Linked DNA regions of Oryzias latipes. Each later gene encodes a partner of the first gene's protein in a complex. Links are inferred from orthologs where the notes say so. Each region holds a gene or a part of one and is shown on either strand. Other genes may lie near its edges.

The links.
Region 2: the proteins of unc80 (region 1) and unc79 are in contact, whole or in part, in a cryo-EM structure (PDB 7W7G), measured with the Mus musculus proteins. The link is inferred for Oryzias latipes from reciprocal best matches to the Homo sapiens genes UNC80 and UNC79. Residues at the interface, in NP_780719.2 of Mus musculus: Gln23, Thr24, Trp27, Ser31, Leu34, Arg35, Pro36, Ala80, Pro83, His84, His87, Ser94, Asn95, Asn180, Ala183, Leu187, Phe190, Leu191, Arg337, Leu340, Gln341, Pro342, His343, Arg1317, Asp1320, Glu1321, Asp1324, His1545, Val1546, Asp1547; in XP_030102533.1 of Mus musculus: Thr120, Tyr123, Ser127, Ala130, Thr131, Leu168, Ser169, Ser172, Met175, Ile176, Gln179, Tyr180, Tyr207, Tyr211, Gly212, Pro213, Ser214, Val390, Cys391, Glu394, Glu402, Phe405, Arg472, Cys541, Asp917, Phe920, Ser965, Glu966, Phe967, Ser968.

The regions. Positions count from the first base shown.
Region 1 is NC_019860.2:15,018,293-15,026,324, reverse strand, and holds the start of unc80 (protein unc-80 homolog), read right to left. Parts: upstream 5,464-8,032; 5' UTR 4,381-5,463; coding exon 4,289-4,380; intron 4,126-4,288; coding exon 4,077-4,125; intron 3,811-4,076; coding exon 3,654-3,810; intron 1,937-3,653; coding exon 1,593-1,936; intron 284-1,592; coding exon 160-283; intron 81-159; coding exon 16-80; intron 1-15. UniProt on the Homo sapiens protein: Auxiliary subunit of the NALCN sodium channel complex, a voltage-gated ion channel responsible for the resting Na(+) permeability that controls neuronal excitability.
Region 2 is NC_019880.2:12,388,295-12,396,211, reverse strand, and holds the start of unc79 (protein unc-79 homolog), read right to left. Parts: upstream 5,226-7,917; 5' UTR 4,806-5,225; coding exon 4,784-4,805; intron 3,607-4,783; coding exon 3,486-3,606; intron 600-3,485; coding exon 286-599; intron 1-285. UniProt on the Homo sapiens protein: Auxiliary subunit of the NALCN sodium channel complex, a voltage-gated ion channel responsible for the resting Na(+) permeability that controls neuronal excitability.

The DNA.
Region 1 (8,032 bases):
AAAACAATCGCTCACCATGGGACCCGGGTTGCCAGATCCACAGGGACTGCACTGGTTGCTGATTGGGGAATTCCTCTTAGCTGCAGAGACAAGCAGAGCTGTTTCAAAACCAACACCTCCTTGCAGGGATTTGAGAGGGATTTTCGTCAATCCCCCCACCTGTTACGATGTGTCTGACGGGCTTGATGAGAGCCGTGAAGGCGGGAATGTCCGGCTGACGGTGCTCCCACATCGGCTGCCATATTACCAGGCCGCTCGCCAATCGGAAAGTCAGATCCGACTCCTAGAAGACATAAAAACACATCAGTGTAAATTATCTAGACATTTACCTATCACATCGGCATTTCACTTCGAAATAACTTCAACTACCCCCCCTCCCCATTATTATGGCTTTTATTCTTTTTTTTTTGGGTGTTAAACATACCCAACTGGATTTTTGACATAAACTCAATAAATCATTGGAATATTGTATATAGTTTAGTGGAACTTCACCTCATTTTTCATCTTTGCTAGGATTTTGGATTTTATACTTTTTATTTTTTATTTTTGTCTCTACATGCTTGATCTTTAAATGTTTGCTATAAAAATAACTACTTGGGATTGATTTTCTTACCCAGTTTCAGGTTCATTGTGAAATTACTGTGTAATACATCGAAAATGCTCAGTTAAAAAATGAAGTTGGGTTCGTACAAGACACATGGATTCCAAGCAATGCCTCAAAAAACTGTCATTGACATAAATTATTAGAGCAAATTGTGTAATAGAAGAAAACGCTCAGGAGGCCCCGTCCTGCTAAGGTTCACATCACCCTCGGCGAAGCGCGCTCAAGTAGCCGCTTGTTAACAAGTTTTGGGCTACCGTGTTCAAAACTTCCCACAAGGCTACGCAGGTTTCTACGGCCGTTTTCGGGCTCTACGTACGAAACGAATGTCCATTGAACCATGTTGCAAGCTAAACTTTGAGCAATCGGGTTTGTTGGTGGCGAATAGACGACGTCCCCTTTAATTAATGGAAGACATGCCAAATGTTTGATAACTTATCATGGAGGAGACATGAATCTTTACATTTTGTGTGTGGTTGGAATCATATGACATCTAGTCTTTCATGAATAGAGCTGTGAAGGAAAAAGCCTGGAGCAAGAATCACAAGATTTGTACAGCTTCAACATTTGGCACCAAGCCTCCTCCAACTGTCGGTGGTGGACATGCGCTAGAAAGTAGTATTAAAAGAAGAAGAAGCTGCTCCCTGCTTGTCCAGTGTGAGCATAATGGGCTAAACGCACCAGCAAGAAAGCAGATTTAGTGTAGCTTTAGAGTTAAAGAAGCTTAAATTAAAGTTTTCGAAAAAGGACAAATTCCTCAAATATTTTATGTTTGCCTCGCTAGCTCTATTTTGGTTCAAAGGCACAATTGATTTAAAAAAAAAGGTTTTTGATATGCAGTAAATAGTAAAAAAAAACAACAACAACAAAGCCCCCCCCAATTGAATCAGCCCCGGGCCCCAAATAAACAAAATCCACCCCTGCCTGCTCATGTTTATCAGGCAAATTGACAATAAAAACAAAAGTTCAGATGTCGGCTGTATGTTTGAACCTTAATGCGATGGATGAGCGGCGCCAACAGGAAGACAAACAGCTCCACGGTGGCCATGCTCTTGTGGAAGAGCTTGGCACGGGCGTTTTCGTCCTCCTCCTGAAGAGAGCTGCCGTGGAGAGGTCCCGACCCGATCAAAGCCGAGCCCGGGCTGGAGCCCGGAGCCCCCGGCGAGGATCCCTGGTCCCCAACTGGTTGGAGGAACGCGCTGCTTCCGCTGCCGCCTCCGGACCAGCCGTGGCCCAGGCTGGGTTCATGGTTGCACTCCTGCGCGGCGTCCAGCAGCATCCAGTGCAGAGTGTGAAGCAGTTTGGTCTCAGCCACGCCCAGCTTGTCCTGGTGGCCTGTTGGAGGTTAGATATGTTTTTCCTCTGAGCTTTGAAAGCACCCACAAGTGCATTTGTCCCTTTTTTTCTGCTCTAAACATCGAGCTAACCTTTGGATGGTAATTCAAGCTTCATTATACCAAAGGGGTTGTTGGACTTATCACACATTTCCACATCCAGGTGTGTTGCCATGGCAACCTCGTGTGGAAAAAAGGTGTCTGTGTGGGACTTTAAATGTTAGTCATAAATATTTTTATGAGAGACTGCGTTCATCAAGTGTGCGACCAATTCCTTAAGCAAAAAAATATATATAAAATAAAATCGTATAGAACTTGTAGTAACCATGGCAAAACGCGAAATTTTGAACCATGTTTGTTTTTTCAATAATAATTTTTATTTGGCACTGGTATATGTGGATTCATCTCAAAGATCCACAAAAAATGGAGTGACATTCAAAAAATCATTTCAGGAATTCTTTTGTACTTTTGTAGAAATTTGAATTTGGGCATTTCTGAGAAGCTCTTGGTGGAACCTAAACTTAACTATTCAACGCTGAAGATGTTGCTGGTGACAACGAAATAACACGTACTCTTTGACCGTTTACACGATCAGCGTGAATCACATTCTCACTTGGAGAAATGCGACTTTTCGTGCATAAAAGTGCAAAGCTGCTTACGTCGATGTACGTTAATTGCGTAAGCACTTCGCTACTGCAGAGTGTCTGGAATCTGCTGGAGCAACATTAATTGCCTAAATGCTTGAAGAGTCACGTAGTCAAAGGAATGTCAACACTAGAGCTAAAGGATGACGCCCCCAGCGCTGCTGCTACGTACATTTTGTGGATTTTCCACATGTAAAATTTCAGTTTTTCGTGATACATGTGTGATATACATAATTCATAAGTGTGTCTTGCGCTCGCCATTTATCGATGTGCTCAGATGTCCGTCGAAGGTTTCTAGCCGACGGGACTTCACGTGAGTTCGGTTTTGAGCTGTTCAAAGTTTTTGGTCAGTTAAGAATTACGCGTGTTTTACGTAGTTTTTACGTTATTATTACGTACATATTACGCAATTTTGTGTGATTTTTAGCATGGACCACTAATGAATAACTTTTATATCGAGTATACGGCGGACATTTAACGTTAAAATTATGCAATCGCTAAAAAAAAATCACGAATGAGTTGCATATACAAGCTGGCTCGGTTCATGTTCTACGTTGTTCTTTGCGTGATTTATTCGTACATATTTTGGGTTTTAGCTTGTTTGATTAGTGACACATCTGTGATAATTTTACGTAAAAAAAACAATTTTTCTCCCGTTTTTCACGCATATTCGCGTATTACCAATTTTTATCCATGCAATATGTGCAAAATGTACCTAGTGTCTGTGTGACACGGCCATAAAGCTCCAATGTACAACATTCCTGTCAACAACAGGCAGTTCGTTAAATTATTTGACAAAAAGAGATCTTGGATTTTGTTGCCATGGCAACATTATCCGTAAGTCTGATTCATGCATTGATGCAGCTTCAATCAGAGGTTTGTTCTTGTACGTTCAAGGTGTTGTTAGACTTTTTTTCTGTATCTTTTCATCTCATTTGTAGCCCTTCACTGTGGGAAACACACGTCTTTTCAAACATGTTTGTCTTTCTGTAATCTGATCAGCCGGTACCCAGTGGAGGATCAGGACTCTTCTGCAAACAGACGACCCAGATAACGGCGCTCACGCCTCCTCACCCAGTTTGTTCCTGTTTGACAGCAGGATGGAGGTGCAGTGGAGGACATGGGGCAGCGCCGCCTGAACCAGCTCCCAGCGGGAGATGCTCTGGATGGCTTCGGACAGCTCCCGGGAAAGTCCGTGCAGCTTGTTCTCCACCAGCACCCGCTCGAAAGACTGGCGAGGGTGGAAAAAAAAAAAAAAAGAATTCAGGTGACAGGGATTAGACAGAACGTGCTTAATGTCCCACATGGTGCCAAAGTGGGTAAAAGCCTACAGCACTACAGGATACGATCTAGAAGATGTGCCATTATGGATATGAGTTTCCAGGAGGGGAAATCCATTTGGTAAATGTGAAAAAATCATTTAAAAAATGCCCTGCAGGTGCGCAGAGGTAAAAGAGATTAGTGGATTATGTTGATCCACATCAGGAAATGACTCACCACACATGATGCCTCATATTGTTTCCCCAACTTTGGACGCAGGAAAGCGCTGGGAAAAGAAAGAAAGAAAAGGAAGGGATCAGGTAAAAGACAAGTGTGACATCATCTGCTTCTCATTCAGAACTGGCCAGCTTCCCCCTCCGTTTGGTCGGATTTAGCCCTGAGAGCTGCGGCAGCGACGACAAACACCTGTTATGTATCAGAGCACCGACCTGGTCTGGCTCCACAGGAAAGTCTGGATGGCGAACGGGATCCCCTTCCCGCACTCCGGCTCGTTCTCATCCAGGCTCTTCCTCTTCACCATTTTGGCCCGGACCTGACGGCTCCGTCTCTGCGCTCACCCCCCCTCCACCTCCACCACCACCACCTTTAGGGAGCGATCAGCTGCTGGCTCTCCACCTCCGCCCCCTTCCAGGTGACGGAGCGAGGCGCGCTCACGACATGTTTGCGTAAAATGGCTGCAAGTGGCGACCGGCGGCGGAGATGGTGACGGAGGGAGGAGGAAGATCAGATGGGGGGCGCTCTGATTTCAGCACTTCCGTCACCGGACAGCGACAGCTGATTGCCCGAATTTATCGGCGCCTGAAGACGCAGTGCGCAGCCGCGCCGGTCGGTCCCCCCAAAACATCTGTGCGCCGCCGCAGTGGCCCTCATCCGGACGGCGCGTTCTTACCGGGCTTTGCGCATCCACTTATCAACAGGTTGGACCACGATCAGTCAGTGGATTCTGGAAGGAAGCCAATTTACTCCCCAGAAAAATGAACATATTTCTATCTGGGTGATTCTCAGAATCAGGTTTACCTCAAAGATTTTCATATCAAAGACCCACTCCAATGAGAAAAATAATCTGGGGGTGTTTTTAACACGTTTTTGTAGCATTTCTTTTCATGACGGAGGACATATATTAGGAAAATTATGCTTAACATTTAAGTATTTCTTTTCTCAAATCGTTGTGAATCAGGACCGGACGAAAAACGTGCAGTATGAAATAGCTTGTAGATGTGACGTAGCACCTACAACGCAGGCCACAATATTCTAATGCAGCCACGTGTAGTCGTCTACATCCATGTACATTTTCATTTTCTTCATCTGAGCTGGTTCAAAACTGTACAGCTGGATAGCTTCAATACCGCTCGCCATTTTTGTTACGCCATCAACGTAAATACGCTGATTCTGTCGCAGATAGAAGCAGCTTTGCACGGTTGTGCACTAAAAGTCGCGCTTCTTCGATTCACGTTCATTGCGTGAAATGTCAGAAGTTACACTGGGACAACTGTGAGTACATGCGCTAGTAACAGGTAGGGACAGTCCAGAGTGAACACCCTCCTAATGCTAAAAGTGCGATCTTGAACACGCATCACATGGTGTGTACGTAGCATTACACACACAAATTATATTTACTGTTGTTTAGAGACAATAAACATTTGTCTTCGTTAAATATATTGATTCCTTTTCTTTCTCTTGCTATTTGATGATCTTTATTCTAGCAACTGTACACATATGCCTATTTTTAGCTAAAATAATAATTAAAAAAACTGGATGAATTCTTGATACAAGGCTGAAAAAAAAGTTGTATTGCACAGAAGATGGTGATGATGAAGGTGATTACCAAAGAACTGTAAGACTTTGCTTCAACATGTTTCAGAGTTATTATGATAATCTGATTGTCCTGATTTTAAGGGGTAGCTTCTCCCACTATGTCTCAACAAGAGTACGATTTAAAATCACTTTGGACACATTTATAGTTAAGCTTTCTTATTTCTATAGTCTGTAAAAATATATACCAATATCATCTGACAGTAAAAAAAACAAAACACATATATATTTTTTGCATATTTTATTAAATGTATTGCCAAACTGCATTTATATACAAAGTTCTAACCTAACAAAACTCTTGTTTTTTTTAAACAATTCATTCATTTTCTAAAACCATTTTGTCCCATGATAGCGTCACAGGGCTGCTGGAGCCTATCCCGACCACCCGTGGGTGAAGGAAGGAGACATCCTGGACAGGTCGCCATTCTGTCCCAGGGCCACAAATCACACACACATGCACACTCAGATTCACACCTTAGGGCAATTTAGAGTAACCATTTATCCTATGAAGCATTTCTTTGGATGGTGAGAGAAAGTCAGAATCCTTGCAGAAAACCCTTGCATGCAAACTTGAGAGCATGCAAACTCCACACACAAAGGTCCCCCATTGATGTTGTGGTTCAGGTCGCCCAGCTGGGACTTGAACCGGGGGCCTTCTTGCTGTGAGGCAAGAGCGCCAACCACTAACCACTAAACAAGTCAGGTACTACGGTAATTCCCAAACCATTTCCTGTTTTCTGACAGGCAAAGACACATGTAGGCAGTTGTACACTGTCAGCAACGTCCCTTGGTTGTTTTTTTCCTGGAAAATGCCCAAACATGTCTTTGGAAAAGTCTTGTGGTGGGTGTACAGCGGATCGCTCGACAGGGACTGGCATCGTCACCGAACTGTCTCTTCTTGGTACCCGGTGGTATCTCTGGTGATTGGAGTGGGCTTCAATGGTTCGAAGATGGTCCTCCTTTTTATTTTTTTTTTATTTTTTTTAAGGGATGTCATTACCTTGAGATCAAAAACTAGAAATGTGGAGGAAACTCCAAATGTGCTGCTGTAGCCACATTTTGTACATCACCTCTTTAAACTTGGCTTCACCCTTTGCTTCCAGATTCCCAAGGATTCCTAAGCGAAATACCTAAATGTGTTTTGAACATCAGCTGGAAACATCTGGGTATGGTTACAGAGTTCAAGGGTCACTTCCGTGAAGATCTCAGGTCACGAAACGAGTCTGAATCCCGCTGTTTAAACTCCGTCTGGCACATCATGGGCACAAACTGTTTGGAAGTGCAGTTCGTGGACGCATCTTCCAGGAAGATGCTTTGGCTTGATGCTAAAAGGAACAAACAACGATCCAAATATTTTTGATCACGTAAATCAGGATAAGAATAGGACAAGTAGCAGAAATAGTGTTTTGGGAACTTTTCTGACAAATACAAAAAAACTCCCTTTTTGCAAGTCTTAAAATTTCGAGATGGTGTTGAAAAACTGTGTCTAAATGCTTTAAAACAACTTGTAGGGACTTTCAGCATTCCTTTGTTTAAAACATTTTTTTTTAACAATGTCTGGTTGATTTAAACAAATGTCTCAACTTGTGAGCCGTCAGGTTTGCCTCAGAAGAAAAAAAATACTGGGAGCAGAGAGAATGGAATGACAAAACCAGGGGGTCAATGTGTGTGGTCGGATTTATGAAGGTTAAAGGTCGGGATACCGCTCCCCTATAAGAGTGTGTGACCAGAATGAAGACGAGACTCTTGTATCTGTCCGGGTCTTCCACACTATTCTTTGTTAAATACCCAGTATGATGAAATTTGGGTTTTTTTTGGTGTTCTTGTGAGATTTTTTTACTGATAATGGAGAACTCATAAAGAAAATTAAGCCCATACCTACATTTTTGAGAATTTTTTTAATTCAAATTGTTGTGAATCAGGAGCAGAAACGAGTACCGGGCCCTCCCCGACCTGCTCACACCCAGGTGTGCATAGAGATAATGGAGAACTAACATATATGTGCTGTAACTGTTTGCAATCCCTAAGAAGAGATATGGAGATTTTAGCTTCCACATTTTACCCAAAAAGCAACGGTGGAAGGGAAAGGGGGTGGGGTTGCTCCGTAGCAACGGTTCTCGCCCATACCTCGGAGGCGAATTTTTTAAGGAATTACTGCCACTCTGCAGAAACTGTCCTGATAAAAACAACATCGATTTTAGCTAAAAATGGCATAATCGTAATTAAAAGAGCACCAGGAACAATCCTTCAGGAGATCAAAAGATGATCGAGTGGGTTTGCTTAACCCATTTCCTGGGATTTGTATAACTCAAAACAACAAACGAAATAATTATCTGAAGATTTCTGCTTCTCACTTCCTG
Region 2 (7,917 bases), on another chromosome or scaffold:
TTTTCAGTACACAAGTAAACATTTCTCCCACATAGTTGAACAAACATGCATTCAGGTATGATACACAGAAGAAAAGGCCAATTTATTTCAGGTATTTCCAATGGCTTATGACGGTTGACAGGATCCAGCGTGCTCCCAATCACCCCATGCATCCCTCAAGATCCTCAGCAGGACTTCTCTCCTCCCGTTACAAAAAAGGCCAAAAAAAGCAGCAGTGGCTTCATGCAGGCCAGGCGGCTCGTGGATGATGATGACAAACAGTGGTGCACTTGGGCCTTGACTCACCATGCTGACCGTGCTGCAGCAGGGGCACCAGGTCAAGCAGGGTCACGAGGGTCACATAGAGGCCCTGATAGTCCAGAGAGGGGTACTCTGAGAGCTGAGCGTCCCGACTCTGCTGCCCCTGCCCCCCGCGGTCTGACGGGGCATCGCGCAGAACGCTGTAAAGGAGGGAGCGAGTAACTGTAGGGTTGATGGAACTGACTTGTGGTCTTAGAGATGGGGTGAGTGGGAATGGCACAGGAAAAAGACACATGGTCATGGGCACGGCCAAATTGGAAGCTTCCTGGTTCTCCTTCCTGCCTGTGCGGGACAGAATGCTGCTCCGGGGGCGGGGAGGGGAGGGGAGGGGAGGTGGGAGAGGGGAACAAGGGAAAAAAAGAGACAACAAAGACACAAAAAAACAGCACATTACATTGAAATGGCACTACAGAGACAGCGTAAATAGAAAAAAACAAACCCAGATAAACCCCACATAGGATGCAGTGTCTCACTATTTTTGTACAGAAATGAAAGCATGGGTAATTTGCTCGCTGCTTTGTCTGTTCCAAATGACTTCATTTCAACCACTTTTAGTTTGGACTTGCTTTCCATTTTTAAACAAAACCAACGAGGAAAAAAACATGACCACAAACTGCAATGATCACTGCATCTCATGCGTATCTGGTGACAAGGAGCAAAAATATAAAAAATGGCATGTTTTCAGTGGCAACCCCATACTTCTCCAAAAACAGAAGGGACACAATAGCAAAGAAAGCACTGTCCCTCGGTGAATGCCATCTTCCAATCAGCAAAGTCACTGGATGCTATGCAGAAAGCCCAATGAGCCATGAAATGCAATTTACTGTGAAATTTCTTTGCGTTTAGTGGGGCTGTCAAGGATGGGAGTGACACCAAATTGGTTCGGGAAAATACAGAGGTGGCACTTTTGAAACATGCTTGAGCCTGTAATAAACATGTGTGTGAGGTTAGATCAAGAGCTCCTAGATCACAGCACATGTTTATTGCACCAGAGAAATAATGTCCGTATGCATACTTTATGATACTGCACCAGTATCATCGGAGTAAATAATGAGATCCAACAGGCATATGGATTCAGGTTTCTAAAATAAATGTAACAACTAATCTACAGTAGAGAAAAAACTAGAATGACAAAGGAATAGGTTGTATCAAAGGGGAGATGACTGGTAAGTATCATGTTTGTGAGCTAATGCAGGATGGACAATTGTGTTTGCTGTCCCCTGGGGAAGGTGGTGGACATATTGGACTTTAAGAAAGGGAAAAACAAAAGCAAAAACTAGTTGGGTTGAGTGTGGAGCATCTAGGGTGAAGGAAGAGGGGAAAGGAGGGGCCAGAGAGCATTGCTCTATTTTTTTTTTGCATGGTTATCAAAGAGCTAAGCTGTTCTATCAGGCAAATGGTTGTGATTTATCATGAGAGCCCAGATTATAGATAAATATCTACTACAGTTGTCTTTTTTTTAAAGAACACTCAAAAATTACATTTGGAGCTCCAAGGCAAGTGAGAAAGGGGATTGCATTGAAATTGTTCGACATGGTGTTGGATGAATAATGTTGAGCACCAGAACATAGTATTACAACATGTGACCGATCCCCTCAAAGTGATACTCTAAGATTTTAGTCAGCGACGGTTTGTTATAAAACTCATTAAAGGACTAAGTCGCAAAAGCAGACTATACCTCAGAGTATGACTTTTTCACCGCCTGTTTATAATAGAGACAACATCTTCAATTTGAACAATGAACATAGACAAAAACAGACCCGCTCACACACGTACGCTAGACATTCAAAAAACACACATATGTGCACGCAAACACATACACACACAAACATTTGCATATGACAAGTAACACATGTAGAAATGCACAGACATATGACGTACATTTACTGTCAAACCCTGCCCTGTCAACTGTGTGCATGACTTAAATTGTGGAATATGTGTATGGTCAATTGCTAAACTTTTCTCCAAATAATTATGCACTACAGTTTCCCATTTTGTTGTGAATGAGGCACTTAGGAAACAGATCAACTATTTTTGCTTTGCAGCCTTCTTTTTCTAATCTTCTAACCAACAGTGCATGAATCAACAACCTCAACTGACCACTCATCTGTCCGGAAAAAAAATAAAATAAAATGACACATGCCTGCTCCACTTTTCAAGGCTCACTACTTCTAACTCTGTCTTTCTTACCATGTTTTCCTTCACTCAGTGCCTTAGGAGGCACAGGTGCAAGAATAATCTCAGAGTCCCTGCTGAGGAAACAACGTTGTTCTAATGGCAGGCAGAGTGATTTTCCCTGCATATCTTATGCTAAGAGGTTGGGCTTTGGGAAAATATTGAGGCTGTGGTGAGAGCGGACTCCTGCTGAGTGATTCTCATCTTAGTCTGAGAATTCTTTCCCTCAGAGACAAAATCGTTACTTGAGTTCACACTGATTCCCACAGATGCAGCCCTTGTCACGCTCAATCAGTGCCGTGAGAGGCCATGTTTTTAACAGCACAGTGATTGCTGGTGCTTGGCAGCCCCTCACCAATGTAGGAAGTATCCAGATACCCTGCAGCAGATAAATAATCCTTTCGAAGCTGAGGAATAAAGCACCAAATCTAGGCCAGCTGCCAATCTCTAATAGATTGTTCCCAAAATGATTAAACTAGTGCTACTTTCGCAAAAAATTGCTAAAAAAAATAACAGCGCAATACCAAAATATCTCTTCATTAGTTTAACATCATTTTAAAGAATAGGACGTGTCTAAAATGTCTGCCTTCTTGACCTGTTGTAGAAAAAAACATTCCTTTCCTTCTTCGAGCTTTCAGATAACCCAAGAGAGCAGGCTGACCCTGCGGCTGCAAAGCTGGAGAAGCCAGCCCCGCAGGAAAGGACATGGAAGCAGATTGCCCAAGGGAGGCATTCATCTAGCAACTGGCCGCTGAATCAATAACCATCACGGACCTATCCGTCTTTACTTATGCTTCAGAACAACACCATAACACCAATACAGCAGAACAGGCATGGTAACTCATATTTAGCATTAATTTTCTATCAGAACATTTAATCTTGAGGCTTTTATTTTGGAAAAATGTGCAGAGATAACCTGGTGTGAGTAGTCTCATCTGCTGGTGAAGGAAGCTATAGGTGTTTAGCTAAGTCTGTGAATTCATCTGATGACTCTGGAACGGGTTACTTACCTGAGCAGCGTTTGGGAAAAGTATTTCAGTGTGTTTGCAATGTCTGTTCCGGAGGGCACAGGATAAATATTGTGTTGCACACGGTTGTGATACTCTTGCAAGTATCGTATCTTAGAGGCAACTAGACAAAATAAAGAGCAGAGTAGATCAAACAAAGCAAATCAACACGGTAGCAAATCCTGTTCTTAGCAGAATATATGCAGCTGCGCAAGAGCACAAATAAAAACACTGTGTGTTTCTCCTGTTGCTTGGCTGCGACCCAAGTGTGTCGCTCCGCCGTATATATAGAACATGAGTGTTTTAATTATCAAGTTAAACAAAGAGTCCATGTTCCCATGGCTCTCTGGCCTTAACCAGGTGACCTTTATGGTGCAGCAGTTAAGTCACAGGAAGCCTCAGAGGAGACAGTAACCTATTGCTTACAGAAATACACTTATGAACAAAAGGTTGTCAGTTCAAGTCCCAAGACAAACTGAAAAGAATGTGCTCAGCTTGAGCATGAGAGGGGCTTCCCTGCCTTCAAACATGCAGCAGCACCGAGACCAGCTGGCCCCTTCCTGTTGAACTAGCTCCATGTTGTGTCAGATGTCACTTTTGCAATGGCTAATTAAGACTTCAAAAAAAGCTGATGTGGGGAACACATGACCCATATTCAGTGACTTTGATGTTTAGCTTCCAGTCTGACCTGTAAAGCAAACTGTGGCTTGAGTTTAGGCGGCCACACAGCACAAGTGCCTCATTTTTCAATGCAAATAGACATCTTTGGTTATGTATTTTGAAATTCTGATGTCTAAGTAAATGGAGGTGTGTGGGGACACCCATTTTTAAAGCAATAAAATAAATGATAAAAAGAGGGGGGGGGGGTTGGAACATATTTAAATTCTAATCAAGTCTTACGGTCTTACATACAATCAAGTCGACCTTGAGACCATCCCGATTTTGCCCTCCATTCCCCAGTCACGTCAATCAAAAACAAAAAGAATTACAGCAATTATAACAGGTCTCATTTTCATTCCAAAAAAAGGATAGCGCATTTCTTTTTCCACCCATAGCCTAAAAAGGCAGAAACAGTGGCTGTCTCTGCGCACTGAAACCTCCAGCCGCAGTGAGAGGACGTGTTGCAACCTGCCTTGGCAACCGCGATTTCATCACCAAGGACAGCTCCCCGTTTTTTTCGCGTTCTTGCTCATGACAAAAAGAGAAGGGAGCAAAAACATAACAAAAATCCACGTTTCCCGCTTCCACCGAGCGCTTTCGCAAAGAAAACAGGAAAAACACACACAAAAAGCCGTACTTACACTGCTCTGCCTTGGTAGACATTTTGCAGACACTTGGAGAGACATAAAACCAAGACTGTCAATTGATTTCCCAGCTTTTTCTTCCACCCTCTTTCTCCGACGTTCCTCAGAAGCGAAAAAGTGGAAATACCTCCTTGCAGCCAGACTAGGCACGGCTTGATTGTACCACTCGGCGGAACGGATCTTGTTGCGGTTGGCGTCGTTTTCCTGCTCGTTTTTAAATGCCATTCACGGACAAACCCCTTGTTGAATCCTATTTTTAAACTCGACAATTACATCTCTTTGACGCACAGAAAAAAAAATCAACTATATGTCATATTTCTGTCACACCTTTCCAAATGGACTGATCCAGCTTTGACAAATTGTCATTCAAAATTTGCAAGAAACGATTCCTTATCTGAAGCAGAGCAAAAACACTGTGCGTTTGCCTCCGTATCCCTGTGCATCTGCTGCATGTAAAAGATGCATATAAAACGTGCAACAGATGGTTGTCACACAGTTCATGTCTTGGACAAAATACACTAATGTACTTGCAAGTGTTTTTATACTTTCCTAAGGTGAGCCCCATAATAAATACCTTAATTTAGTTTTTCTATAAATCAGCCTTGATTCATAACCTATTGTTCCATTATCAGTCCCCATGAGCAATTTAAAAAAAACGTCATTAGTAATGTGGGCACCATAAAACATGGGATACAAAATGCAGCAACAAAAATATTCTAAAAATCAAGAATATTTCTCATTTCACCCAACCCAGTTCTTGAAATATTTATGTTTGCATAGGTTTTTGGGATGTTTTTTTTAGATCAACACATTTTTTTTCATAGTGGTTTCATTTTAACCCAACCCAGAAAAGAGTATGTTCCTTTTCAACTCTCAAGTTAAAAGCAACCCAACTTGGAGGTTTTCGTGTGTTGTACAAGGGATTTATTGATGTGTATTTGTAGCTGCAAAAAAAAAAACTAAAAATACATTTTTCTTTATTTAAAACAGTACATTATTGACCAGGTATTGCAAAGAATATGTATCAAACGCTCCGTCATCTTTTAGTTCCAAAGTGGCATCTTGTCTTAAAAGCTGCACAAACTTGGGGGTCATTCCAAATGCAGAGTTCTCTCAGCTGTCATGGATGTGGAGGTGTTCTCTGTCGGTACTCTGGAACGTGATGCATGATCCATCCAGCTGGGGCAAGGAGAGTCACAGCAAACACGCACAGGGCAAAGACAGATTGCTGTAGAAAAATTGCAAAAGAACAGGAGTCATCCTTTTTAAAAGTTTGCTTTCTGGAACACAGAAAAAAAGTAAACCAGAATAATTTACTTTGTTATGTCGTCCACATTTTTCACCCTATAAAAAAAGTTGAACATCTGCTTTCACTACACAGTGTTGAAAGCTTTTACATGTTTTTCTTGCCGCGGTCCATCAATGTGTCTCTTTCCACTCTGGGATTCCTAATTTCAGATGCCATTTGTAAAAAACCTTCTGATTGTCCCCGAGGACAGATCAGCAGATTTATAGCAGCATAAATGCCGGCTTGGTCTGTTGCAGTTTCATCATAGCATTCTTTTTCAGAGGCCAGATTCTGAAACTGACATATGTACACAGAATTAATAAAACATGTTCTCTACTTTGCTGGCCTTGAAGGAATGTACGCTTTGATTCCTCTGGTTACCTTCATCGAAGTGTAGCTTTAAAGATACAGACCTTTGAGGAAATAAATAATTGATAGTGATGTTTTATAGGATAAATTGATATGAATGTTGCAATTTTTAGATATTAGCTGCATTCAACCTCTTTGTAAGGTGTTATAATTATCACATTACAATGGTCAAATCTTCATCATGTTATCAAAACTAAGCAGTCCTACCATTGGTCCAATCTTATCTTTTGGTGGCTTGCTGTAGATTCTTGATGTGTGGGTTTGTTGAATGGCTTTTATCAGCAGCAGTCCAGTCAGTGATGGTCTCTTGAAGGTAGAGATCATCCTCCTTGCTTCAAGTCAAACACTTAGTGTTCAGCTAAAGAGGATGTTCCTCCACACAGCTTCAGAGATCCAAGCAGATGACATCTACTTTAAATACTTCCCATCATGCTTCCTGGGAGGAGTTGCCTTCAAGTGATAAACATACTTAAGTAAACACAGTGAGTTGTCTTTGGGATAGAGCCATTGTCACTGTCCAGTTAAGGATTAAAGTTAAATGAATTTGGAGAATTATATAAACCAAGGACTGTTATAAGCCTGAAGCTCAGTTTTGTTTACATATGTAGTATACAGTATAAAAGGAAGGGGAGAATATAATCATCTGGTCATTAAACAAAAGCTTCAGGAAGCATCATAAAACTGAATTTATCAAAAAAAAACATCTAATGAAGGACACACAAGACAATAAACTTATGTACAGTAAAGTATTCCAATAAGATTTTCTAAATAGTCTTTGTATCTTGGAAAACAATAACAATAAAAAGAAAACAGAAAATGAACGGTCCTAACTATAAAACATTGTCATAAATGGTTTAGCTTGTTCTGAAGTGGAAAATATTATTCAAAAATTTATAGTTATTAATCATGAATTTAATATGAAATTTATTAAATAGATGTGAGATATGAAGACATATAATATTAAAATTAAAGCTACTTGATTGGCTATAGCAACTTATTGCTCCTAATTGTGCACTTTTAAAGAAATTCTTTTACAGGACAAATAATTTGTGGTAACTGACTGTTTTTTGTGAGGCAACCTATTTGAGGTTTTAGATTATAACATTTGTAACATTTCCGTTTTTCTGTATGTTTTGATAATATTATTTCTAAGCCTTTCCAACAACAGACACCAATTTTATGTATCCAGACGCCCTCATCAGGATACTAAAGGAACTTGATCCAACCAAAGGTAAACCTCAGGGTAGAAAACCACTCACATCGCCGTCAATTGTTCACTAGGGGGCGCTTGATCATTGCAGAGTCTTCCAGGTATAAAAAGGCCTCTTCGACCGTCAGCGTACGTCTGACTTTTCAAGCCACCGGAAGTTACAGTAGGACTGTTATTCCGGTTTCACAATTGAAGCAGAAAACTATAGAAAAAACAAAATTGTTAGATGGGATTTTTTTCCTTTATTTTACGGTAGGAAAGAGT